Linked DNA regions of Oryctolagus cuniculus. The protein of the gene in region 6 interacts with the protein of the main gene of each other region in a pairwise test. Links are inferred from orthologs where the notes say so. Each region holds a gene or a part of one and is shown on either strand. Other genes may lie near its edges.

Region 1 (3,500 bases), on a different chromosome or scaffold from region 6:
CAGCCAGACCCTGTCCTTTAATGTCAGATTCTGTGGGTGGAAAGAAGTTGTACGGTGAAGTGTCTGAATGTCCGGACTGCCCGTCTGCCTTCACCAGTACACCGTCTTTCTATCAGTGTTTGAAGGGGGGAGGCTGGTTAGGGGAAAGGCTGCTAACAAGGAAAGTGCAAACCAGTTAGGCTGTGCTGTGTAACCCTGCCATTCAGAACAGAAAGCACCCCGTCACTGGCCTCTACCTTAGAGCTGCGGGATCTTGCTCGTCTCCACTTGGAGCCCTGTGAGCACAGCAGCTGAACTGTTTGAACTGAAAGACAAATTGTTACATTTCCACCAGGATGCCTTCAGTTTACTAGCGTATTCCGACCCCTGGAACAGCCCAGTTGGAAACCAGCTTGACCCAATTCAGAGAGAACCTGTGTGCTCAGCTCTTAACAGTGCAATATTAGGTAAGTAAAGCCAAACAGCACAGCCTGTTGGATTCTGTGAGTATTCTGTGCTGGCATTTCTATTGATGAACTCACAAGGGAAATGTTTTATGTATTTTAATACAGAAGTACTTTCACACATAAAAACTGTTCTCCTTTATCTCAACTCCAGATTACATGATCTAAATGTAATAGAAACAGTAGGTTGAGGTGCATCTTCCGGTGTTTGGAAAGTAGTTTTTGTGTGCATGTTTTTACATGTTTGTAGTAGCCATGAATGTCTGTCTCTTCTCATTCACAATGATAGACTTTGGTGGTCCTCGTGTTTGAATTCAAAGTTTTACTCTACCAAAGACTTAGCCCCTCCGCCCCCTTATTGAAAGGTGTATTCCTGCTGCTCATTTCTAGGCTAGGAATCAGGGCAGCATTTTCCTAAATCTTCCATTGGCTAGACCATGGCTGTCCTCCAGTCCAGGAGAGAAGCACGTGGGCTTGCAGGGAGACGGCCTCTTGTTTTTCTGGGTTATCAGGGCCTCCAAGTTGTCAGTTGTAGAAGGTTGTGAGAACTGGATTAGGGTCAGTGGGAGGACAGGGTTAACTTGCCTGAAAAGCAAAATAGGACTTTAAGGTGCTGTACAACCATTCTGTATAGCTGAACACATTTCGTTCAGTGGATTGATCAGAACTGGGCTTCTCGATTGGCAGCTGTAGAACGAATTTGAGGTTATTAATGAAAACACAGTTCAGGTGTTTGGTCCACAAAGAGTGAGGTGAGAAACAAGCAGGGTGAACTTGAAGAGGTCAGGAAATGGAGGTTTCGATGGAACAGGCAAAATGTGAAAGAAATGAGAGCCGGCAAGAGCTTGAACATCTGAGAAGTCTGGGTGCGACCCTGTGGAGGCCGGGAGTCCTCGCTGGTGCTCCCTGCTACCTCATTCCCACCTTTCTCAAGGTGTTTTAAGAGTAGCCCTAGCCGGAGCCACATGTCTCACAGCTCCTACCACGCCTAGGGTACAGATGAGGGGGGCTTCGAGGTGTCTGAGTACCTGGTCAGCACCAACCTCTGGAGTCAAATTAAGTGTGTGTCTAGGGGAACCACAGTAAACGGCAGGTCCTCGCCCTACAAGGATGGGTGAGGAAGAGAACTGTCCCTGGTGCACAGCCCACGGTGAGCGCAGAGTGGGAAACGCCATCCGCTCTTCCTGTGAGCGCAGGATACTTCGGAGTTCTGCGACTGCATAGACTACACAGAAATCCACGTTTCAGTTTCTGGGCAGTTCTCTTCTGTTAGGTAAGAGGGATTCCCCCCCCCCCCCCAATCTGATTCTGGGATCTAACACCCAAGAAAAATGAGATTCCAGTTAGGAAGTTGATGCTGTGCTATTTGGCCTTGTGAGGTTGTGAGCTTTTAGTCAAGTGTTTCAAACTATTTTAGGAAAATGAGAGCAGTGTCCCAAAGTGACTTAGACAGACAGGGAGGTTGTAATGCGGGCCAGGAATGTAAAGAAGCCTTATTATTTGTTAGGGAATAGTAATGTCTTTTGTGTTACAGTTTGCTTAAACTTAGAATTTGTATATAAGCAAAAAACCATCAAAGAAAATGTATTAGATATGCAGGGAAAATCATGGTTTATTGTAATTGTCACTGAAACTATACTATGGGTAATCCTGATGTAGCTGTTAGGTAGTAGTCAGATGTGGAAAGAATTTCTGAACAAAAGTAAGCAGCTCTCAGGATAGTTTATTTCTTTGGGCTCTTGGGGGGGAACTGGATATGTGAGGGTGCTTTGACAAATTCATGGAAAATGGAAATCAAAGGCTTATTTAGCTACATAGTTTTTGAAATCCATGCATGGTGTGTTCATAATATACATTTTTTCCCATGAATTTTCTGAAGACCCCCCCTTATATATTCTGAAGTACTATGCTCTATTGTGGATGTTTGGCTATAAATACTGTGTAATTTATACAACGTATAACTCCTATAAAATTGACAAGATTATTAAAGATTGTTGTGGATAAGTATGCATGTGTATAAATATATGCTGTATTACGTAGGTTCATGTATGTGTAGTAAATGCATTAACTGCACATAATTCCTATTCCTCTGGCCAAATGGTAATAGTAGTAAGAGTGCACCTTTGTGCAGGGCTGTGCGCTTCCCTCAGACACAGGCCTCCTCCCTCGCAGTGCTGTGTCTGCCCTTTAATCCTCTCAGCCTTCACCAGGCTGTGTACCTGTCTGCACGCCTCCTTCCCGTAAGTTTCAATTCTTGGATGTGTTTGAGTCTTTTCTTCTAGAAATTCTCCTACAGCCATACTTGTGAGCTCTGAACCGAGGATGAAGCTAAACCAGCCACACTGTGTTTTGCCCTTTTTCAGTTACGCCTACTAACAGTATTTTCCTGATGGGGAGATGTTTTTTAAAAAATGTTTCACTAATTGCTATTTCCATTCTTAACTCTATTTCCTCAGAAACTCACAATCTGCCAAAGCAACCTCCGCTTGCCCTAGCAATGGGACAGGCCACACAGTGTCTGGGACTGATGGCTCGGTCAGGGATCGGATCCTGTGCATTTGCCACGGTGGAAGACTACCTGCATTAGCTATGCATTTCAAGAGCTCACACCTATATTGTGGCATTTAGTCAACACGGAAGTAGACCAGCTCTGCTGATTTGAAATTTAGATTTTTTTAATTATGTACTGGGGACAGGTTTTTGTCGCTTTACATTGCTTCCTAGTTTACAGCATGATGCAAATGATTTTCTAACTTAGTGTTAGGAGAAATTTATTTTCCATCTTTAACCTCTTAGTTGTCTAAGAGTTAAATATTACTGAATTTCAGACGTTCAAATTGATCATCACAAATCCTATAAAACAATTACCTAAAACAAACCAAAAAAGTCCTGCCTTTTTTGTGGGGGGGAGAGGGGGGAGGAAACGGAACAAGTCGTGTTTGTGTTAGCATGTGGGTGACGTAAACTTCAAACTGGGAGATGTTCCGACCCCCGCTCCTACATAAGCATTCAATCAGTGTAACTTGCAAAATGCATAAACATCGACAGTTTGAATTC
Region 2 (4,078 bases), on a different chromosome or scaffold from region 6:
CTTAATCTTAAAATAACAGTATCAGGTCAGGGATTTAGAATACAGTATTATATGAAAACAGTTGGCAGGGAGACTCCCTCTTCTGCCAGTAATAACTGACAGGAAATGGTATTTCAGACCCTAAATCCTACTGAAATCCAGACACAATAAATGGAGAATTTGGGGTGAATAGTTTGTTAGAACATGTTTTTCAAAGTAGAGAAAGAATCACCAGGCTCTTGCTGAATTATATGTTGCCATGGACATGGCAGTATGCAATAATGATGCTATCATCTGTACAGCTGTATAAAAACATAGTGTCTCTCTCCCATCCCCCTAAGGCATGAAAATAATAGGTTTGTGTGTAGTTTGGTAAGAAAATTAGAATCATTTAGTCGTTTCAGTTTCAATCTAAGAGAGAGATGGGGAGTGGAGAGGAATAGCAAACAAACTGGAAAAAAAATACATACTATGTAGTAAAGCATAAAACACATTTTGTAGAAACTAAAGAGGGGTATCTTTGGTGTACTAGAAAACTGAGTGAAATCCACCAAAATGGATGACTTCAGAGAAAAGACTTGTATTAAGTCCTATCACTTGTGTGTGACCTTGAGCAAAGGCACCAGGTCTTTAAGCCTGGATTTCCTAACCCATATAATAGAATCAATAATGGCAATGTCCTGTACCTCCAGGGCTATGACAAGGATTAAAAGAGTGAAAACACCTTGTATACTTCAAAGTCCTGTACAAAGGTGTTCGGTAGACTAGATTTTCCGAGACAGGAGTTGAGGAAAAAGTCTAAAAAGACTTGAGGCTGAGGAGTTGGGTTCAAATTCCAATACATAGCTAGAAGTTTTGAGACCTCAACGCAAGTAAAATACTATCTCACCTTTCAGTTTCCTCTTTTAAAGAGGAATATGCTACATCACAAAATCGAATGAGAACCTACACCTGCGGGGTGTTTGAGGCCTCCTCCCTGGAACTGCTCTTTCAATGAATGTCATTAACAAAAGCTGTTCACAATGTAGGATCTTTGGTTCAAGGTATGCCAAGGTAAAAGAGGATCATAGGGAATAAATGGATAAATGCAGTCGAAGTGGGAACCAACAGACTTGGAGCTGAGTCCCTTCTTAAGCACGTGAGGCTGGAGTATCCCTCCAATAAAGATATTCGGAGTTGGACGCCAGGCAAGTCCGGTGCCCTCTCGACTCTACTACGGACTCGACGAGAGGGACCCTGAAATTCTTCATTAGAACAGGTTGCTATGGCGACAGTCTCCAGGCAGCGTGGGCTGAGCTCGCGGTAGGGATAGAGGGTGGGCCGCCGCTGGACCCTGTGCGCGTGCCCGCCACCAACTTTCCCTCCAGACCCGAGGGGCGGCGCGCTCCGCCCCCGCCCCTGGGCCGCGCACGTCGGCGTTCGGTGGCGCGCACGCCTGCGGGAGCCCTCTCCAGGCAACCTAGTGCTGATCGCTCGTGCCGGTGCGGCCGTTAACCGCCCTAGCGGGAGCCCGAACCTCAAAAGCAGCCCCCTCCCCTCTCTGGGCTTCCCCCGACCCCCTTCCCGGTCGGCCCCGGGGCATGAGCAGCGATGGCTGGCTGCAGCCCTGAGGAGAAAACTTACCGGCGTTTTCTGGAGCTATTCCTGGGCGAGTTTCGCGGACCGTGCGGCGGCGGCGAGCCGGAGCCGGAACCTGAACCCGAGTCGGAGCCGGAGCCTGAACTGGTAGCCGCTGAGGCGGCCGAAGCTTTGGTCGAGGAACCGGGGGAAGAGGCGGCCGCGGTAGCCGCGACGGAGGAGGGGGAACCGGAGCAAGACCCAGAGCCTGAGGAGGAGGCAGTGGAGGAAGAGGCGGTGGCGGCGGGTGAAGGCGAGGAAGAGGAGGAGGCGGCGGCAGCCGCGGCCCCGGGGCACTCGGCCGTGCGGCCGCCGCCGCAGCCCCAGCTGCCGCCGCTGCCCCCGCTGCCGCGGCAGCTGTCTGAGCGCATCACCCGCGAGGAGGTGGAGGGCGAGAGCCTGGACCTGTGCCTGCAGCAGCTCTACAAATAGTTAAGTAGCGGGGCTCGGCTGGGGGTGGGCCCGCTGTCCTCGACGCGCCGGCCTCCGAAGAGGCTCTCCCTGTCCCCACACCCCCCACTCCTCTCTCATCTACTCCTCACCCCCGCACCCCGCCGCTGAACGCAGCCCGGCTGCTCGGGCTCGGCCGGTGGGCTGCGGGCTGCCCACGCCCGCCGCGGCCCCCGCGCCGACTGCCGCCTCGGAGCCGCTCTCCGGCTGGCTCGGGCCCTTCTTGCCCCTTCCCCTCGGCCGCGCACTGCTCATTCCACTTCACACTCCCCTTCTGCCTCGGAAAATCCTTCCTCCTGCCTGGCCCCGAGTTTTTTCTTCTGGCCAGCTCGCCTCTGCTCCGGCAGGTTGCCTCCCAGCCCAGGCTGTGCGTTCGCGGACTGGGCTCCCTGTTGTCTGGTGGAGAGGTGCCTCCTGCGTAACGGCCGCGGCGGGCACAGAAACCCCGGCCCGGCGTCCTGGAGAGGGGACGCCCGAGTCGGTGTTCCGTTAGGCGCTCCGTGTTGGAAGTGAGGCGCTCTTCGGGAACCCGGTCTTTTAAAGACATTTAACAAGCCGTTACTGACGGAGGTGGGAAAGGATTGATTGAGAGGAGTAAGCAGAATTTTACAAGTGAGCCTTCAGGTGAGAGCCATAATTCATTAAAGTGGAAAAGTCAGGCTGCTTTGATAAAATTGCAATTAGGTACAGTATTTTCAGTCCATTAAGTAGAAGGGGGGGGGGGCGTAGCAGATGGCTTAGCCACACAGATGAAAGTCTAAAATAGAAAGGTCAAAGCTTTGCCTTTCATCCCAGTTCTGGTTTTTATAGACTTGAAATAGATGCAGTTTACAATTGGTGTTTCTTTCCAAATGGAATTGTTCTGAAACAACTATCGATAGAGGAAAATACTAACGAAGCTTTGAAAACATTGGCAGACCTGGGAGTCTTTTGCCACTCAGCTGATAGTTTAATGAAAGGTGTTACTCTGACCATCCAGAAAGTTTACTACTGCAAGATTCACCGGAATTAAGTTCACACTTCTTGCATTTTCTCAAAAGCCTAAATAAAAGAAAGGCCTATTTTGTCTTCATCCAGCCTAATGGACACCCGATCAAATCGTTTTCCCGTTAAAGCTGCGGCTTATCAGCAGGGAAAAAAACATGTAACAAATCACCTGTAGAAGTAGACTGGGTTGATGTCTCAATTTATAAGCAGTCTAAAATTGTAAAATTACATTTTGGGAAATGTAAAAGATAAAATGGCGGGTAATACTGCTACCCTGAGATAAACAGCATTAACATTTTGGAGTATTTCTTTCTAGTCTTTGTAAGTTATCATTAAAGATGTCATTTTTAACACTGTTTGAAGACACTTAAAGCTCTCTGCTTAAAATGTTTAGTAAAATGAAGGAATTTATGTCAGCATCAGCCTAATTCTATTTTGACAATAAATTCTTACCTTTATAAATGCAGTTGCAAAATTAAACACGATGTAAACATTAGAGAATGTCCAAAACAATAATTGCCAGTTTAGTATAGCCCTGAATGTTTGTCATTCAAGAAGTTTTTCTTTTTTAATGATACCTGTATGAAGATGTGTATTTTTTCACATGGAAAAGAAGCAGAATTAATTTTAATACATATAGAAATTGGGAAAGTGATTGAATTGAAATATATATAGAAATTGGGAAAATGATTGAATTGATTAAATGTCCACCTAATTAAGAACAGAAGTTTGATTTTGAAATAAAATTAGCAAAATTATAATTGGAAAATATTTTATCTTAATCAGACTTTATCATTTAAACTGTATTTTGTTTAGAAGCTATTAATGTATTTTTATTCAGATGTAAAATGGCTGGCTTATTTATGTAGAATATCTTTAAAGTCTTTACAGGTTTCAAAAGTTTCAAAAAATATACTGCTGTGTTTTTATTTTATTTATAAAAGAAAAACATTACTTAAAGAATCAATGCTGAAAGATTGTAGGGATAGATTTTTCTGTCTAAGCACTTCATTTTATATGTGAAAAAACTATGAACCCAGATTCA
Region 3 (4,017 bases), on a different chromosome or scaffold from region 6:
CGGCTGGGTGGAGCCGGGCCGCGAGACACCTGCAATTTCCGCTCCTCTGCCCCCTCTCCCTGCCGCCGGGCTGGGTCAGCCGGGGCCCTGGGCACTAGGACTTTGCTCAGATCTAGCCTTCGGAGACAAAATGGCTATGACCTTTATGTTCTATAGCCAAGTCTGATTTGGTAGGGGGGAAAAAAAACCCAAACTACCCAACGGGAAAGGCAGCCGTTTCGTGTGCTGGCGTCCACCTAAGCAGCCGGCCTCTCCCGCTCGGGAGCGAGGCTTTCTGAGAGTGACCGCGTCTCCGCCAGGCCGTGCCTGTCGCCCCCGCCTCGGCGCCCACCCATTGTCCTCTCGCCGCTGTCACCGGGCGAGGATCCCAAGCTCCCGATTGGAAAAGCTGCCCGTCACTCAGCCACACTTAGGGGCTGGTCGCTCCGTCCTCTTTTCCGAACCTTAAAAGGTCTAAGGCCTCTTCCCCCGCGCCGACAGGTAAAGCGGCGGCCGTGGCCGCGGCAGGCAGGCGCCGCGCACCCAGGTCCGCCCCGCCCTGGGCAGCCGCGGGCGCACGGCCGGGCGGGGTCCTGCGGGGAGCGCGCCGCACGCGGCCCCGCCCTCGCCCTGCCCCTTCCCCCAAAAGCCGCTCACAATGCCCGGCCGCCCCAGCCGGCCCCGTAATCCAGCCCTCGGACCGCCCTACGGCAGTCACCACCGCGAAGCACGGACCCCGGACCCCGGGGCGGGCCAGGCCTCAGGGCGGGGGCGGGGGGGGTGGGGGCGCGAGCGAAAGGTCCCGGATGTTGCTGAAGCGGAGCCCCTTCTGAAGAGGGAGTGATTGGCGCAGGCGCAGGCCAGGTCGAACGCTGAAGTGGGGGTGGGGACACATTTTCTTCCCGTAGGATTAGCGGAAGGGAGAGCCGGAGGATAGGGGCGGGGGGGGGGGGCGCGGCGTCCGAGAGGAAGACGAGGAAGCGGGGTGGCGGTGGGGAGGGAAGTACAGCAGCTTCCTGCCCAGGCGCACTCGGGGAACGAGTAGACAAGGTGGAAGCCGAGCGCCGGTCGCGGGGCGAGGACGCGCGCTCCTTCGCTCGCCCTCTAGCGCGGGCGGGTAGGGCGCGCGCCGGGGAGCGGCGGTTGCGCTAAGGCCCCCGGAGCTGTGGGCACCAATCAACGGTTGCCATAGCAGCGTTTGACGTCATCGTGCGTGTGGTGCCCCTGCTGCCGGGGCTGGTGATTGGAGGAAACCCCGTGTCTGCGGAGCGGCTGTAGCCTGTGAGCAGCGAGATTCAGGGACAGAGTCTCAGCCTCTCCGCCGCCGCCCAGAGCCCGGTGAGCCTCCGTCCGTCTGTCGGCTCCTACTCCGGACACAGGTAAGGGACCCGGCCGCAGCCGCCTCGCCCCCGGCCGGCCCTCGGAAGGCTTGGGAGCCGACCTCGCCTCCGCGGCCCCATCGGCCCGGCCGTCGGGCGGTAGCGGCGCGGAGCTGAGGCGGAGTCTCCTCAGGCAGACACGGGCGGCGGCTTCTCTTCCGCAGGACTCGGGCGGGCGGCTTGCGGCCGCCTCCGGCTACATGTTTCCGGGCCAGTGCCTCGGCCCCGATCGGCGCCCGCTCCCCTCTCTGGATCCCCCGGGTGTGTGGGGGGGGATGGGAAAGGCGCCCCCGACACGAGATCCCCGGGGATCCCCCGGCCGCCGGCTCCCCACGGCTGCCGAGGCGCGGCCGAGGCGCCCCGGCCGCGTTCCGTCCCCACCCTGGCCCGTGCGTCCCCGCTTCCGCCCGGGAGAATGACTTGGCGGCCGCGGCGGGCATTGCAGTGGCGCAGGTGAGGCCGCCCCCTCCCCGATCCGGTTCCCCGGCTCGCCCCCTCCCCCGCTCCCGGGCGCAGCCTCCGCGCCCCGCGGTGCGATCGCCCTCCCCCACCCGGGGCGCGGCGCGGCCGGGAGGGGCCGGGGCCGCGGGGACCGGGCCGCCGCGCTCGGCGCTGCCCCACGTCGGGCAGGGCGAGGCCGCCGAGGGCCAGCCGGCGTGGGGAGGGGCCGGCCCGGGACCGGCGGCGGCGGCGGCGGGAGGAAGGACTTGAATTTTCCCGGTTGGGATGGGGGAGGGGACTGGTTCTTTTCTACTTGTGGTGGGGCGGGGGTGGCGCGGGGGAGCTCCGGGCCCAGGTCGGGTAGGGGAGGTGGGGGAGACGGCGCTCGGCTGCTCTCGCTCTCCGGCCCCCCCCCCCCCCCCCCCGGGCTGGAACCAGGGGCCCTGATCCTGCTTTGCGGGCCCCGAGCGTAACAGCCGGTGGTGGCCTCGCCGGGCTGGGTGTGGCTCTCCGCCCCCTCCCCCACCTGCTGCAGCTGTCGGGTCCTTGGACTCTGGATGGGCATCGGTGGCGGGGAAGACGCGGGGTGGGAGAGCGGGGTGTGTCCGCGGCCGAGCTGGTAGTGGTTCCGCTTCTGCGGGCGGTGCTGGCGTCTCGGTCCCCGGGTCGGGCGCCCCCCTCCACTTGGGCGGGGGCGCGGGCTGCTCCGCCCTCCTGCTCTGGGCGGGGGGTTAACACTCGGCGGTAGGTTGGGCTCCTTGACACAGATCCGCCATGACAAAGAGGGAGAGTCGGCGACTTGTGCGAAGGCACCGGCTTGGGCGGGGCCTAGGAGGAGGGGTGGTTGCGGATTGCGCGCACGGAGGCTTTGCACTTTAAAGTCACGGTCTGCGGGTTTGCGTTGCACCCTCCCCGACGCCTGACGCCGCGGAAGGGTTAAATGGGTGCGGCGAGTCATCTCCATATAGAGGCGAGGCCTTGGAGCACTAGTTACTCCGAGAAACCTAATCCACTTCCCCTTGTCCCGGAGGGGTTGTAGAGGAAAACCTTTGTATTGGTTTTAAGCCATTTTTCTTTAGAAGCAATATTAAGCAGAAAATGTTTGGCGATTTTATGGGAAGGGTTATTTTTGAAGAACCGAGAAGAAATGTTCGATGATAAATGTTAACTATTTTGCACATTGAGATGGCCCTCCTCGCATACGCTCTGGCCAGTTTCCTTTTGAGTTTTTAAGCAGTATGGTGGGGTTTCCCTGGGAAGATAAAGAATGAGATATTGGGAAGTCAGTTCCCCTGGGAGATGACAGTGGCCCTTCCGTCCCCCGTTTTAATCTAATAGTACATTTCATTTCAGGCTCTGTGTGTGCTTTTAAATCCTTTGTTCTGTGGTATCACAGTACGGTGTAGTACCTTTCTCTGCTGTTGAGCACCGTCTGAAAGGCTATCTTATAAGATAAATGCAGTGGAGGTAACCTGAAAAGTACGGGGAACCTTAAATGAGGGAAGGAGAGCTAGGGGAAAGGGCAGCTTGAGTGATAACATCTCATTAAATTGTGAGTACTAGAAGCGGTGCAGTAATTCTATTTTGAAACTGGAACGGGGACATTGGAAACGCAGATGCTTCCAATGTGATGAATTTTACTGCTCTCGGATGGAATTGAAATGAAAGGGACCCTTGGGCCACTTTGTGAAGCATGTATGCACATAAGAAGGTATAAAGGAGGCCTTAGGGTCAGTTAGAGAGTGATCCTTGGTGATGGCTTTATATTCAGAATATTTTAAGAATGAGCAATTTGTGTGTTCCAGAAATTGTCATGCTGTGATCAGCTGGCAAATGTTGCTATATTGGGTGGGAGTGACACCAACTAAATTTAATCATCCCTGATCAGAGTAAGTATTAGGAAAGAAAAAAGACATGGACTGTGGTTCTGGAGATAGGGATGACGGTAGTGGCACTGTTCTTTGTTTGCCTTGTTTTCATGAAGGAGGAGAAGCTGTTCTAATTTTGGGTCTCATGATAGAGATTTTTGGTCAAGTGAGATAAGGGGTAATTTTAAAAGGCAGCCTTTTGACCAAATGTGCAAAACTGGTGTTCCTTGCTGTGAATTTCCCTCTCCATTGTTGTTGTGAGTTTTTTTTTCCCTGTCGTGACCATCCTTTTGTGAGGCTGCATTTGAATTCCTCCAGTGAACAGTCTTTCACAGACACTAGGTTTGAAG
Region 4 (3,500 bases), on a different chromosome or scaffold from region 6:
TCATTCTATTCTGATGACTTAAAAAGTAAAATCTGTATTTGACCTGAGATAAATGTAAGTCATTGGAAATAAAAAGAGAACCTTTCCAATGGCTTCCCACCACCACGCTTAGAATGAAATCTAAACTCCTCCAAGCCTGTGAGGCTAACGTTCAGTCTCTTCATTCTTCAAATCCTGCTTCCACTTTCCTCTTCTAACTCATTACAGAGCTCTTCATCCTGTTCCACAGTCACCCATGGCTAATTCCCACACGGCACACTCTTCTTCTCATTCAGATCTCAGCTCCAGTGTCAATTCCTCCAAGGGACCCTTCCCGACCACTGTGTGGAACTGGGACACCACCATCACCTCCACATTGTCCTCTTCATCACATTTACCAGTTTCTAATCACCCTACTTGGTTTCCTGGCTCACTGCATTAGAGACATGCTCCTTGAGTCCCAGAACCATGTTCTCCAACATACTCACATCACTGCAGGAGACCCAGTAAGTATTTGTTACCTAAGAAACACACAAAATCTGAGTTGGCATCATTTTACTGAAGCTACTCAGTTTTCTGAGTATTTTTTAATAACAGTACTGGCAAATATAAATGATCAGGAGTGATCTAATATTATTCACTGTATACATTTTTAAATTACTTAGATATATTCAGAGTTAATACTGTTTTTTCTCCTTTAAGTATCACAAGATTCTGGGAGTGTTAGGAAACTAGCACAGTTTTAGCCAGGTGGCCACATGGCCCAACCTCTGTGGTCATGCTCCACCCCCATCCTAATGGGATTTGCTGCTCCTGCTTCCCTGCCCACCCTCAGGCAAAGTTTTAAAAGGGCCTGTTCCTGAGCACGTGCCCTCTTGGTTCTCTCCTGCTCTCTCTTGGCTCCTCTCCTCCTCTCGTCTCTCTCCTTTCTCTCTCTCTCTCTCTCTCTCTCTCTCTCTCTTACAGTCTCCTTCTCTCTTTTTCCTTCGGCGCCCCTTCACTCTGGACTGTTGGGTGTTCCCCAATAAACCCTCTCCCTTACTCCGGTGTTCGGTGTGTTTTGCGACGGCTAACATTAACATATAACAGGGAGAACTCAGTGTTTTTTTTTTCCTCTCTAGGGAAATACAATTTTGTAACTAATGACAAATTATTAACAGTACTTAAAAAGCCTAGGACTTCATTTGCACTTGAGGAACCTTGAAAACACCAGTGTGAAATAAAAACTCTAAAACCAATCTTTGAGATTGTAACGAAAGATTATAAAATTAATAACTTTTCTATAGCTGGGATTCTCAACAGTCATTTAAACATTTATATTTCCAAAGAAAATGTAAAACCATCAGTATGTTTTATATTCTGAGCACAATACGTAACGTGGATTAAATGAAGAAGAGGCAACAATGTTTAAGAAAAAACAGCTGGGGCCGGTGCTGTGGCATAGCAGGTAAAGGTGCTGCCTACAGAGCCGGCATCCCATATGGGTGCCAGTTGGAGTCCTGGTTGCTCCACTTCCGATCCAGCTCTCTGCTGTGGCCTGGGAAAGCAATAGAAGATGGCCCAAGTCATTGTGTCCCTGCATCCATGTGGGAGACCCGGAGGAAGCTCCTGGCTCCTGGCTTCGGATCAGCATAGCTCTGGCCGTTGTGGCCAACTGAGGAATGAACCAGCAGATGGAAGACCTCTCTCTGTCTCTCCTTCTCTCTCTGTGTAACTCCTTCAAATAAATAAATAAATCTTTAAAAGAAAAAAGAAAAAACAGCTGAACTAAATAAGCCCAGTTGAGAATTAAATTTCTCTTGTATGAATATGAATGTCTCATCAAGGTGAAAACTTGTATTATGAAATGTATTTTCACTCTGCTTTATCATATACAAATGAGTAAACTTACCTGTTCTGATTTAAGTACACGGAGTTCCTGCTGAAGTTTATCACTTTCACTTGATTCACTTGCCCCAAATGATGATTCATTTGTTACCAATGGCAAGTGATCCAAAAACAACTGTTCCGGCTCGCTTTCTTTTCTAATGGTCAGATTTGCAAAAGGAATCTTGTCCTCCACCATGAGCTTTGATTCTTCACCAGAACACTGATTTATTTGAGAAACCGAGGATCCAGAATCCCTGCTTGTCACAGTCACAGCTCCGTCTTTTAAAGAACTTAATGGAACATCATCCACATGGGTGTTTTCTGTCCTACTGTGGTTGATTATGATTTCAAGCTCTCTACATCTCAATAAAAACTGCTCTTTCTCCTGCTTTAAAGATTTAACTTCTTCACTCAAAAAACTAATCTCAACATGTTTCTGCTTTAATTGTTCAGAAAGATCCGACAGTCTCTCTGAGAGTTCTAATTTTTCTCGCTTGGTTATCTCAAGTTTTTCCATCAGTTCTGTTGTATCTTTCTCAACAACTTCACCAAGTTCCAATGGCTCTGTTACCAAAGTTTTCTCCTCATCAGAAACTGAGGTTTTCATTTTCACAGTAGGTAAATTTATTCTTTGCAAATGAAGTTCTTCATTAAGTGCTTTAAGCTTACTTTTATACTCTAATTCTTGCTTATTTTTACTGTCTTCCAAATCATCTTTTACTTTGAGAAGGCAAGCATACTCTTCTTGTAACTCTTGATAGTTAACTTCAAAGTTTTTTTCAGCAAATGAAAATGTATTTCTTTGCCTTTCGATCTCTTCATTTAGCTGAATACATTTTTGCTTGAGATCCTCATTTTGCTTTGTAAGTATTTCTATTTCATTTTGCCAGCTACTGTCTTTGGATTTGGACTCAACGGGATCCACGACAATCACTCCTTCTTCTTCATTAACAGAAGTATGTGTTTTCAACATGTCTTCCAGGGTCTTTTTTTCATCTTTAAGAATGCTATTCTCTGCTTCAAGGTGTGCACACTTTTCTTGAAGGTCATCCTCTTTTTCCTTCATTTGTTTTTCCAGTAATTCAGTTTTAAGTTGTAATTCTTGAACTTCTTGTTCAAGTGTACCCTTTTCCTTTTCTTCTTGTCTGAGTATTTCAATTTCTTTTTGAAGTTCACTGATTTGAAGGGTCATTTCTTCAGATTTTGAATTCACAAGGGACTGCTGTACATCTTTTAGTTTTGAAATTTCCAAAATCAACTGATTCTGCTTAGTTATCAAATTATCTTTTTCAAACTGCATGGTCTCTATCTTTTGACTCATTTCATTCTGTAAGCCATCTATCTGCTGTTTATAGTGAATGCCCAAGTTTTCCTTAAGCTTTTCAGTGTTTATGCGGTGTTCAATTTCTAAATCTTCCTTCAGCTTGCAAAGTTCCTCTTCATGACTAAACAGAAGTTGTGTTCTAAGTCTCTCTAGTTCGGCTTCTTGTGACTCAGCCATTCTGTCTAGCACAGCATTCTTCTCTCTTTCCAACATCTCCAGTTTGATCCTGTAATTTGTAACTTCTGCCTCATGTTTTAATTCTAGTTCCTTCCTGGATTCAGATGCACAAACAATCTGAGCTTTCAAGTCTTCCACTGTACCAAGGGAC
Region 5 (3,500 bases), on a different chromosome or scaffold from region 6:
AAGTCAAGCACCTGGTGTGTTACTATTGTCACTCGGGGATTGTCAAGGTTCAGCCAGGATGGAATCTGTCCATTGGTGACAATGAAAATATTTCGAACCCATGGTGCATGCCTCTCAATAGAGCGCAGTGAGTATCTCAGCTCTTCATTATCTTCAAAACGGCTGGCAGAAATGTCTTCATCCTGCTTGGACTGAGAGAAACATGGAGCGTGGACAGGTGAAATACCCAGAAGCACACCTTCTCTTCCTCCTCCTCCTCTCCCCTGTGCTCAGAGTGCTCTGGCAGACTCGCAAAGATGGAATCTAATTTTACATAGGACAAAAATGTGAAAGACTAAGTCTACCATAAAAATCCCCAAACTCAAATACAGCATTTCTTTAATATATTTATAAAAAGGTGTCTGGATCCAATTCTAGGTCACTTCAATTAATATTAAAGCAATGGTGGTGAGTGGACAATTTGAAAAGTTTCAATCAACTCACTTCAAGTCCTTTTCCTTCTCTTAACGTAGTGGCTTACATAGTTTTATCCTTCTAAACCCTCAAACTGTGAAACAATCTCCATAACCCATACCTGGCTGATGGCACTCAGATCCCATAACAGGTATGCAGGACTTATGGTCAGTTCTTTTCCATCAATGGTCATGTTCTTCTTAGTTTGCTTATTCAGTTCTTGGAAATCCTTGGGGTTATTCAATTTTAGAAGTGCCACACTGGCCTCTGAATACAACTGCAACTATTAAATAACGAGAGTTACACAAAGGAAGAAACACCTTCAAATTCCCACTTTTGTCTTCAATCTTGAAATACCCAAGCAGTTTCAAAAAAAAAAAAAAAAAAAAAAAAAAAGAAGACCTTAAAACAAGGAGTGGGAGGGGTGGTCAACTGACCAGACAGAGCAGGACCCATCTGAAGGCTGCAGCTACTGCTCAATGCTGCCAACAGCTGCCAGATCTCCTGAGATGCCAGGACCTCCCACTCTCATTTGATATCTTCCCAACTTTTCAACGCTGGCTCAAATGTTTTTATTTCCCTACATTCAAACAAAGCACGTGCTGGCTAACAGCTGGTGACTTTTGATCAAAAATATTACAAATCTGCTCAAACTGGAGAAAACTCCACAATGTGACTTCACTGGAATTGTTGATAAGCACAGTGAGGTGTCTGAGCACTTTTTCTTAGTCACATGCCTAGGAAGGGCATCTTTGTCAGGGTTTCCTGAAGTACTTCTACAGGAAGACCACCTTTCAGGGGAGAGTTTTCAAGCAATAATAAATCTAAGAGGGAGCATCATAATGTCAGCCTGCACCCTGCTGGAGTCCCCATCCCCCTGTATGTTCTGACTCTATATCATACCATTTCCTATGAAAAGAGGTTTGCAGATCAGAAAATGGGGACAGGACTGAAACCACTAATTTAGGACTGCCAAATTCTTCTGCTGAACTGGCTCTTCTAATGGAGCTGGTGGTCTTCTCTCCTAATTTCCATACTCTTTAGAAGATTTTATTTGAAAGGCTGAGTTACCAAGCAAGAGGGAGTGACAGAGTGACACAGAGATCTTCCATTCGTTTGCGCCACAATGGTCAGGGCTGGGTCAGGTGGAAGCCAGGAGTCAGGAGCTTCTTCTGGTCTCCAATGTGGGTGGCAGGGGGCCCAAGCACTTGGGCCACCTTCTGCTGCTTTCCCAGGTGCCTTAGTGGGGAGCTGGATTGGAAATAGGGCAGCTGGGACACAAACTGACATCCATATAGGATGCTAGTACTGCAGACTGCGGCTTAACCCACTGCATCACAACGCCCTCCCTTCTTTCTTAATTTATACAATAAACACAAATTTATGATGGGCTTATTTTGGGCTCTTTCAATGGGTCCATGACTACACTTAGCTCATTTTCTTAGCAATTCCCCAAGTTTACCAAGGCTAAAAAACAAGAAGCTAGACTTAGAATTGCATTTCTATCTTCTTCCGTCCATTATTGAGTAAGGCATTAACTCTTACATATATGTAATTCCTTCTTGACTCACTATTTTCTTTTACCTTGTCAGTGCCTGGCATGTACTAAGCACCCAATACAGTCAGCTTTCATTGCTGTCAACACCCTGCCTCGGTATGCCGTGAAAGTTAGGAGGCATGCCCTGCAGGGCAGACATCCATCTGCCTGGGTACCTGCTTATCTCCCAGCTTCCCCTAACCCTTTCCTCCTGCTCACAATGGTTCCCACAGCACCTCTGAGGGCTTCTGGAGTGGAAAACACCATTACTCTAGAATAAACAATTCTAGTAATATATGAATATATAATATCAGTATAGGTAATAAGTCTATATACTAATATAGAATTTAAATTTTGTAAGTAAATACCTTTAATCTAATCTCATCTACCCAAATTGAATTATTTTGAAATTTCAAAGACATTTTAAATTTTCATAGATTTTTAAGCTTACTTAAGATAAATTCAAAATATAGAAAGGGATCTGAGACTAATATATTCCTGAAATGGAACAATATCCAACCGTGATCCTTGATTTCTGCTGCTAGCAAAGGTCATTTGCTGTTGGAAACTGATTTATAACAGTATTTCTTGTTTTGTTTGCCCAATGATCAACTTCACAGAAGCTGTAGATAAAATATATGTTATGGGGCACATGTTTTAGTTTACCAGTCAAGATCCCCACGTCCCACATCAGAGTGCTTGAGTTCAATACCTGGCTCAGCTCTTGACTCTAGCATCCTACTAATGCAGACCCTGGGAGGCGGTGTGATGGCTCAAGTAGTTGGGTTCCTAACTCCTACATGGAAGACCTGGACTGAGGTTTCCAGGTCCTGGCTTCAGCCCCAGCTGTTGCAGGCATTTGGGAGTAGACCAATGGATAGGAAGTCTTCTTTTTCAAGTAAATATATAAAGAAATTTTTAAAGTATGTTAAAGGTGCAACATATTAAAGTTAAAAATTAATGCCTTGACATTTATATTTTAACTTCCTAATACAGAAACTTTTTCACTTCAACTTCTACAACTGACTGAGTGCATATTTGCTAGACATTGCCCTGGGATTTCAGTAAATATCCAGGCTAAAGATTCAAACTCAGATCTATGTAACATCTAGGTATGGTCATCTACTTTTGCTTCTGCTGCTGGTCTGTGTGATACATTGAGATGGATGGTGACTACCCAGCAGCCCCAGCAGGCAGACAGCCAACCAGATACCTACCAATACAGAGTGGTAGCTGCTACTGTAGCTGTGTTAACCGAGGCAGGAAGAACACGAGGGGTGAGTGATCAGCCCTGCTGGAGGAGGTGCTGGCTGAGCTAAGCTCTAGAAATAAAAACTTGACTATCTAATACCAAGGGAAATGACCTTCTCAGCTCCATTTACAAAAGTCAACGGATATCGCCAACCAGCGTCAGAGAAGAAACTACAGAAACTGGCTGGAGAGTGAAACAGGAGCCAGGCTTTCACTGGTAAGTGTGCTCCACTTTTTACTACACTCTTTTCCTGACAGG
Region 6 (4,145 bases):
CAAAACAAAACAAAATACAGTGCTTTTGTCAGTTAATGATTTTTTTTTTTTTTTTGGACAGGCAGAGTTAGACAGTGAGAGAGACAGACAAAGAGAAAGGTCTTCCTTCCATTGGTTCACCCCCCAAATGGCTGCTATGGCCAGTGCGCTGTGCAGATCCGAAGCCAGGAGCCAGGTGTTCCTCCTGGTCTCCCAAGTGGGCGCAGGGCCCAAGCACTTGGGCCATCCTCCACTGCCTTTCCGGGCCACAGCAGGGAGCTGGCCTGGAAGAGGAGCAACCGGGACAGAACTGGCGCCCCAACCAGGACTAGAACCTGGGGTACCAGCACCGCAGGCGGAGGATTAGCCTAGTGAGCCACTGCGCTGGCCCAGTTGGTGATATTTTTTAAGCTCTTTTTTTATTTTTATTAGACAGGTAGAGTTATAGACAGTGAGAGAGAGAAAGGTCTTCCTTCCATTGGTTCACTCCCCAAATGGCCCCTACAGCCGGCGCACTGCGCCGATCCGAAGCCAGGAGCCAGGTGCTTCCTCCTGATCTCCCATGCAGGTGCAGGAGCCCAAACACTTGGGCCATCCTCCACTGCCTTCCCAGGCCACAGCAGAAAGCTGGAATGGAAGAGGAGCAACCAGGACTAGCCCTTTCTCTCTGTCTCTCTCCTCTCACTGTCTAACTCTGTCAAATAAATAAAATTTTTAAATAAAGAAAAAAAAAAAACCACGCCTTGCCCTTCCTTATCGCACTGTTCTGTAGCATGAATTACATGGGGGATTCTCCTTGGCTCTTTTGAATGAGCCAAAGAGAAGGTGTTAGTAGGCGAGTCAATGGTGTAGATGCTTGGAACTGAACTAGACGCTTGCAACGGACTGTGGCCTGCCCAGTGCTGCCAGAAGAGTCTAAAAGCTGGAATTCTTTTTATTTCTAAACAACCGCTTTCATGCTTATCCTTCGATGTCACCTTCGGCACTTGCCCTGCACTTGGAATAAAATGAGTCTACCTGATGCTAACTCCCGCACTCACATTTTGGTCACTTCCCAAGACTAGGCATCTGGGAAGAACCTTGCTAAGGTCCTATGCTGAAGGCCGCTCAGCCTTTCCTGCCTGCATCTCCCTTGTCCTGCTTCTGTCCAGAAGGGATCCAGAGCGAAGAACAAACTTTCTGGGGTCCCGAGGTACTAGGCACCCACCAAGAGCCTGCCCGCTGCGCCTGTCCCAGCCAAGGGACTGGATGTATGCTTGCCCTGTGTGTGACCCAGTTGCAAAGGAAACCACTGCGCTCTGTAATGAGAAGGAAGGAGCCTCCCTCTTCTCCCTCAGCCCCCTCCCCACTTCCCGTCCAGAGCGCTACTTCCTCCCAATCCGCCTCCCTCGGCCCGGGGACCGGAGCAGGAGGCAGCCAAGGCGGAACTGGAGGAGCCAGCGGCCCGGCACATGTTGCGCCGGGGTCCCCAGGGCGCCCCGGCCGGCGGAGGCGGCGCGGACCGCGGCGCAGGTAGGGGCTCCGCCACAGCAGCCAGAATGGGTCCCGGGAGGTCTGGGCCGGGCCGGAAGTGCGCCTTTCCCCCTCAGTAGGTCTGGGCGAGCCTCTCTTCACAGCTCCAGTTCGGTGCGCCCCTTCAGAGGTGCGGGAAACCGCAACAGGGCGCGTAAGGTGCAGGTTTGGGAGGAGAGGGTCTGGGGCTGTCAGCTCTGTGCCCAGCCCTCCAAGTCCCTCCTGGCCCGCAGGACTCTGCAGAGCAGTCCGCGGCGGACCCATGCTCGCGTCTGACGGGTCCTGGGCGGCGGCGGAAGGCCCCAGGGGCGTGCTTGGAGTTGGGATGGGTCCTGTCCATCCGTACCCCCGCAGGACAGAGCGGCCCTGCACGCCCTCGCCCGGGACCCGCGGGACCTGGAAGGTGGAAGTTGAGAGTGGGGTAAGGAGCTGGTGAGGGCGCGTCCTCCACAGGCCACGGTGCAGTTTCATTGCAGGCTTGGAACTTGGCGACGGCAAAGCCCTCGCCGGAGCTTCGGCGGGACACCACTGCCCAGACCCTGATTACACCGTCAGCTCGCAGTGGTGACACTGAAGTCATGGCGTAGATGTTTGCTTTCCAAGCATGACAGGACTTGTATCTCTCGCTCTTAAAATACATGCAGAAGTATTGGAAACTTTCTGGAGACCGTGAGATTTGGAGTCAGGGTGTGCATTATGTCCTGGGTGCATCCCTTCCCTCAGAAGTCACAGTGGCCACTAATGACGGGGTCTCCCTGCCTCCTTGGGTCTATGGATGTGAAAGCACTTTGCTAAAAGTGTCTCACTGGTTACACAAACGTGAGCTGGGAAACACCAGGGCCATGAAAGCTGGGAGTTGGAGACAGTGTCTTTGCTTCTCAATCCTGGACTTAGCTGTGCCTCAGTTTCCCCACTTTTAAAATGGGGACCATGACAGTACCCCTTTCCCCAGAGGGTTGCTGCGCCGTTTCGGTGTGGTGGTGGATGTGAAGCCCCTAGCTCTACTCCAGAGACAGACTGCAGGATGAAAAGACTGTCGTTGCTAATTTTCCTAAGTAAAACTGAATACTGTGGCGTTTAAAGGAATACTGGTTTGATTTAAGTACGAAGAGTAGGGTGCTGTAAAAGACCCTGGGTTTTCTTGTGCTCAGGCATGACGCATGGAGTCCCTTGAGGTTCAGTTCAGACTCTGCCACAGAACAAGAACCCAGCCCTGGACAGTAGACCTACTTTGTGGGCTTTGTGACCTTGGACCTCAGTTTTTCTTAACTACTTACAAAAAAAAAAAAAAAAAAAACAAAAAAAAACCAGAAAAGGGGAATAGTAATTCCTGCCATTTAGACCAATAGTGCTACCTGAGGTTCAAATAAAGTAAAACATGTAAGACATCGTGTGGAACAGGAGTCACTGTGCACATACAGGACATCATATTACTAGCAGGAATCCTAACATCTGCAACTTTTTACAACTTCCAGATGTGCTGGGAGCTCTACTGTGCATTCTTTTGATGAACTCTTCCCCAAGCCTTTATGGGGCTGGTAATCAGTCCTTGTTTTCCTATGGCAAAGCTGAGGTTCAGGGTCACCTGCTTTTTTCCCAAGCTCACATAGCTGTTCAGTGCAGAGCCAGCAGTGCACCCCTGTGTGGACACCTCTCCCCATTGTCTTTTCAACCTCTGACTGAAAAGATGTTAGTGAATGGAGCCACGGTTCAGAGCAGACCTGTATTAGATCATAGCTAATGATGCACCCTGCATATCATAAAATGGATGGGTAAATTATTAGCCCTGCATAGGTGACTGAAGAAATCGGAGATTTCTTTCATCCCTATTTCTGTAAAATCCGATGCAGGTTATTCTCTTGAAACAATGAAAAACAAAGGCATGGAAAGCTTGAAAGAACGAATGATGATCTTGCAGATCTCAGAAGAAGTGGAATCTGGATTAATACTTTAACACCTAAATGTGTCAGGACCCTAGGATGGCACACGAGGTGACGCTGGGATGAAGGCTGTTGGTGTCAAGGTCACCTCACAGGGCTGCATCCCAGGATGTTTTTGTGGAGACCTCATGTTCAGCCATGATGCTGGCAGAGGGAAATTGAACTTTTTTTTTTTTTTTGACAGGCAGAGTGGACAGTGAGAGAGAGAGACAGAGAGAAAGGCCTTCCTTTGCCGTTGGTTCACCCTCCAATGGCCGCTGCAGCCGGCGCGCTACGGTCAGCGCATTGCGCTGATCCGAAGCCAGGAGCCAGGTGCTTTTTCCTGGTCTCCCATGGGGTGCAGGGCCCAAGCACTTGGGCCATCCTCCACTGCACTCCCTGTCCACAGCAGAGAGCTGGCCTGGAAGAGGGGCAACCGGGACAGAATCCGGCGCCCCAACTGGGACTAGAACCCGGTGTGCTGGCACCGCTAGGTGGAGGATTAGCCTAGTGAGCCGCGGCGCCGGCGGGAAATTGAACTTTAAACAGAAGAGACTGAAGATCAGATCTTTGTGCTGCATTAACAACTCTTAGTTCACTTGTTTCCTAAATTAAGTTTATTACTTTTTTTTGTTTTTCTAAAAGCAACATGTATTCATTACAAGAAGTAGAGAAAACTCCAAACAAGTAAAAACGAACAAACAAACAAACAGTAAAACCACTGAAATCTCACTA
Region 7 (3,500 bases), on a different chromosome or scaffold from region 6:
AGGGTAGAATGCCAGAGAGGCAGGAGAGAAAGATAGATAGACTGATCTTCCATTCACTGGTTCGCCTCCCAAATGCCCGAAACAACTGCAATGAGGCTGAGCCAAAACCAGGACTGGGAACGCCAGCCACAGGTGGCAGGAACCCAAGTACTTGGGCCATCACCTCTGCCTCCCAGGTGCATTAGCGGGAGCTGGGCTGGAGGTGAGGAGCAGCCAGGACTCAGTGTGCCACAGTGGCCACTCCAGGCAGGGGAACTGAGGACGGACAGTCACAGAGGGATCAGAAGCAGCCTCTGTGTGTTCTTGGCACGTTCACTGCTGTGACCGGCGGGCCAGGCCCTTTCCAACTCCTTTTGTAGATCTTTCTAGACTCTAAGAAGCAGACGCCACAGTAGGCATCCTGATACATCATAGACAGAGTGAAGCCGGCGCCCCGCGGTTCAGTTACTGCGACACGCACGCAGGCCTCCACCAGCCGCTCCACCTACGCAGCTCATGTGATCCTCACAACTTCATCAGGAGGAGGTGTTGTGAATGCAGGAAATCCAGGCTCAGAAAACGTGAGGCCCCGTCCGGGTGACACAGTAAGAGAGAGGTGGATCCCAGCCCCTTAGCCCAGGAAGCCGTGCCCACATCCAAGGGCGGGGACACACAGAGCAAAACCAGCCGTGTCCGGAGACGACCCCACTCACCTTCCTCCACCATGGCGCTGCCCTTCTGCGTGACTGCTTTGATGCGGGGCTCGTGTCCGGCGATTTCTGCTTGTAGGGCCTGGTGCTTCTTCAGCAGATTCTGGACTCCAATCAAATCCTTGCCTGGAAGCAGGAAACACTCCCTCGTTACCCAGCCACGAAGAGAGAGGTCAGCACCAACCTGTAACTCTTCACTACCCCTACGGCACCAGGGCAATAATTTAAACCTGACCCTGTTATTCCGACGTGCGTCCCCTCCATGCCAATACCGCACGGCCCTTCCTTGGCTTGATCCCCACCTGGTGCAGGCAGACTGACCTCTGTTGGTGGATGCAGCAATGGGTTCCTTCTCTCGAATCCACGTCTCCTCATCCTCCACGTCACGGAAGAGCTGCTGCAAGCGCAGGGAATCGGCCAGCTTCTGCTTTCGGGCAACCATGGGTTCCTTGAGAGCCTCATAGCGAGCCACGAGGGCTTCCTGCTTTTTCTTGATATTGTCAGCATCAAAGTGGCCAGCATCCTGGAACTGGCGGGCCTGGATGGTGATGCCGTCAATTCGATCCTGCCAACAGCACAGGACAAAGTCGTGAGTTTGGACTGGTGTTGAGCCACTATGTTCTGGACGTTTTCAGGCTAACGTTGATCTTTTGGGTAAGGGGTTATGGTATCTCCAAAAAAGTTAACATGGGCCTGCTGCCATCCCCACGGGGGTCTGGCTGCCGTCTCCTTCCTCATTTCAGGCTCCCAGAGGCTATCAGGTGAGACTTCACTTACTTAATGTGAGCAGCAGAAGCACCCGAGTCATCTAGGAAAGCCAGCACACCGCATCCCTCCCCAGACTAGCCTGGTCTTCAAAGTCCCGCCACTCCTGCGTCCAGCCCCCAAGGCGCAGGCTACCTGGTGCGCGGCCACGTCGGCCTCCAGCAGGGCGTGCTTCTTCTGGAGGTTCTGGACATTAGTAAGATCTTTGCCGTAATCGTCGGACGCCAAGTGACCTTCCACTTCATACAGCCACAGCTCGATATCCTCCACGTTGCGGTTGAACTGCTGCTGCTGGTTAGCTTCGCGAAGCTTTATTCCTGTCCAGGGAGGGAAGTTCCAGTTCCTGCTGGTTAACACGACGCTGGCACCAACAGCGCTTCACTTGTATTACAGAGATGATGAAAGCACACTCTGTGACCTCTGTCCTACTTCCTACAGGGTAAATCGGAAGCTGTCTGGGAAAGCCTTCCAGACGTCAGGAGACAGGCCGTGAGAAGCACTCGTGCCCTTGGCTCACAGTGGAGCCCAACTGTTTCCTTCTCAGACTCCCCTGTCAACCTCACGTGCTCGACCACACGGACCAAGCCAGCAAAGCGACAAGAACCCAGGCCAGCTCCTACACAGCAAGCAGTCCCCCACACCCTGCCTGGCGGGGTGGGGTGTGTCCCTCAAACCCTGCACGAGAGGGAAAGGCCGGCACAATGCAGCGTCACGCTGTCCCCACCTTTCAGCTCGGTGGCCTCCAGCAGCTTCTTCCACAAGCTGATGACCTCATTCATGCGAGCTGCAACTTCATCCTTGGCGTAGTGGTCGACGTCAATCAGCTTTCGCCCGGCTTTCTCCAGGGCATCGATGCGGCTCTGGTTTGCTGAGAGCTCAGCTTCAAAGGCCTGATGCTTCTGAACTTTGCCCTGCAGGTTGGATGGGTCCTGCCGACAAAGGAAAGAAGGGAGCCGACCTTAAACCTGCGCTGCCACGTTACCTCCGTACTCCTCTTCACGCGCAATGCACGTCAGTGGACGTTAGACTGGGCGCTCTTTGGGCACTGCCTCTGTGGGAGCTGCGCTTGGCTGGCTGACCAGTGCTGCACAGCAGTGCCACAGCGCCTTACCTTATACGCTTCATCCGTGGCCGTTTTCATCTTCTCGTTGACCCAGCTCTTGAGCTCGTCAGAATCACGGAAGAACTGCTGCAGGTGGAAGGAATCGGCCAGCTGGGCGCGGCGGTACATGGCTCGCTCGTGAAGGGCATTTCGGCGGCTCAGTAGCTGGAAGACAAGGATTCCCGTGAGTCTCCAGTCCTCACGCCCAACAAGATGTCCAGCTCACGGGATTCCACTGCATTATCTGTCGTAGAGGGGATATTCACGTGCAGACAGGGAGGCACACACAGAGCCTGGACACTTACAGCATCGCGGCGGGTGGCCACGTCTTCCATTGCATAGTGGTTGTTCTGAATCAGCTTGGTTGCAAACTCATCTAAAGCCTAGAGAGGAAGACACAGTTTCTCACTGGTAAGCACACGACTCCCTACCTTCATCTCAAGGGAGAGGCCACGGCTGCTCAGGGACAGAACACTGTGAAGTCAGCACAGGTCGAGGCGAGCGTCAAGGCTGGTGACATCTTCTCCTGTAACTTGTGCTTGGTGTTAGTAGCCAGATACAGCAAGACCGTGCTAGCTCCACTCAAGAATGCAGATAACAGCAGCGACCTGGTGTCTGACAGGGGTCAGATGCAGAGCCTAACTGAATTACTCCTAATTCCTCAGCTGCCAGGTTGCCACCCAGCAGGTATTTCATCGCTTTGTCTCCAACAAGACGGCGTATCATCACCTGCGATTTTAAGTGCTCGGGACACAGATCCTCCAACAATCTGTTCAGAGATGCTTTAGAAAAAGAGACCTCTGGGGGCTGGCGCTGTGGCGCAGCGGGCAAAGCCACCACCTGTGGTGCCGGTGTCCCATATGAGCGCCGGTTTGTATCCCAGGTGCTCCACTTCCAATCCAGCTCTCTGCTGTGGCCTGGGAAAGCAGCAAAGAATGGCCCAA

Evidence for each region.
Region 1: the proteins of DISC1 (region 6) and RANBP9 interact in binary tests that used the Homo sapiens proteins (3 or more experiments, as listed by UniProt). The link is inferred for Oryctolagus cuniculus from reciprocal best matches to the Homo sapiens genes DISC1 and RANBP9.
Region 2: the proteins of DISC1 (region 6) and PPM1E interact in a two-hybrid assay, tested with the Homo sapiens proteins (2 studies listed by BioGRID and IntAct). The link is inferred for Oryctolagus cuniculus from reciprocal best matches to the Homo sapiens genes DISC1 and PPM1E.
Region 3: the proteins of DISC1 (region 6) and YWHAZ interact in binary tests that used the Homo sapiens proteins (3 or more experiments, as listed by UniProt). The link is inferred for Oryctolagus cuniculus from reciprocal best matches to the Homo sapiens genes DISC1 and YWHAZ.
Region 4: the proteins of DISC1 (region 6) and AKAP9 interact in a two-hybrid assay, tested with the Homo sapiens proteins (2 studies listed by BioGRID and IntAct). The link is inferred for Oryctolagus cuniculus from reciprocal best matches to the Homo sapiens genes DISC1 and AKAP9.
Region 5: the proteins of DISC1 (region 6) and GNPTAB interact in a two-hybrid assay, tested with the Homo sapiens proteins (2 studies listed by BioGRID and IntAct). The link is inferred for Oryctolagus cuniculus from reciprocal best matches to the Homo sapiens genes DISC1 and GNPTAB.
Region 7: the proteins of DISC1 (region 6) and SPTAN1 interact in binary tests that used the Homo sapiens proteins (3 or more experiments, as listed by UniProt). The link is inferred for Oryctolagus cuniculus from reciprocal best matches to the Homo sapiens genes DISC1 and SPTAN1.

The regions. Positions count from the first base shown.
Region 1 is NC_091436.1:157,016,933-157,020,432, forward strand, and holds part of RANBP9 (ran-binding protein 9), read left to right. Parts: intron 1-334; coding exon 335-446; intron 447-527; exon of another isoform or gene 528-1,028; intron 1,029-2,899; coding exon 2,900-3,030; 3' UTR 3,031-3,500. UniProt on the Homo sapiens protein: May act as scaffolding protein, and as adapter protein to couple membrane receptors to intracellular signaling pathways. Acts as a mediator of cell spreading and actin cytoskeleton rearrangement.
Region 2 is NC_091448.1:34,142,863-34,146,940, forward strand, and holds the start of PPM1E (protein phosphatase 1E), read left to right. Parts: upstream 1-1,278; 5' UTR 1,279-1,569; coding exon 1,570-2,027; intron 2,028-4,078. UniProt on the Homo sapiens protein: Protein phosphatase that inactivates multifunctional CaM kinases such as CAMK4 and CAMK2. Dephosphorylates and inactivates PAK. May play a role in the inhibition of actin fiber stress breakdown and in morphological changes driven by TNK2/CDC42.
Region 3 is NC_091437.1:126,360,566-126,364,582, reverse strand, and holds the start of YWHAZ (14-3-3 protein zeta/delta), read left to right. Parts: upstream 1-1,217; 5' UTR 1,218-1,358; intron 1,359-2,032; exon of another isoform or gene 2,033-2,078; intron 2,079-4,017.
Region 4 is NC_091447.1:43,719,358-43,722,857, forward strand, and holds part of AKAP9 (A-kinase anchor protein 9), read right to left. Parts: coding exon 1,871-3,500; intron 1-1,870. UniProt on the Homo sapiens protein: Scaffolding protein that assembles several protein kinases and phosphatases on the centrosome and Golgi apparatus. Required to maintain the integrity of the Golgi apparatus. Required for microtubule nucleation at the cis-side of the Golgi apparatus.
Region 5 is NC_091442.1:104,763,459-104,766,958, forward strand, and holds part of GNPTAB (N-acetylglucosamine-1-phosphotransferase subunits alpha/beta), read right to left. Parts: intron 737-3,500; coding exon 575-736; intron 192-574; coding exon 12-191; intron 1-11. UniProt on the Homo sapiens protein: Catalyzes the formation of mannose 6-phosphate (M6P) markers on high mannose type oligosaccharides in the Golgi apparatus.
Region 6 is NC_091444.1:51,179,889-51,184,033, forward strand, and holds the start of DISC1 (disrupted in schizophrenia 1 protein), read left to right. Parts: upstream 1-1,345; 5' UTR 1,346-1,430; coding exon 1,431-1,491; intron 1,492-4,145. UniProt on the Homo sapiens protein: Involved in the regulation of multiple aspects of embryonic and adult neurogenesis. Required for neural progenitor proliferation in the ventrical/subventrical zone during embryonic brain development and in the adult dentate gyrus of the hippocampus.
Region 7 is NC_091432.1:231,847,213-231,850,712, reverse strand, and holds part of SPTAN1 (spectrin alpha chain, non-erythrocytic 1), read right to left. Parts: intron 2,940-3,500; coding exon 2,862-2,939; intron 2,722-2,861; coding exon 2,566-2,721; intron 2,384-2,565; coding exon 2,179-2,383; intron 1,772-2,178; coding exon 1,590-1,771; intron 1,255-1,589; coding exon 1,011-1,254; intron 816-1,010; coding exon 693-815; intron 1-692. UniProt on the Homo sapiens protein: Fodrin, which seems to be involved in secretion, interacts with calmodulin in a calcium-dependent manner and is thus candidate for the calcium-dependent movement of the cytoskeleton at the membrane.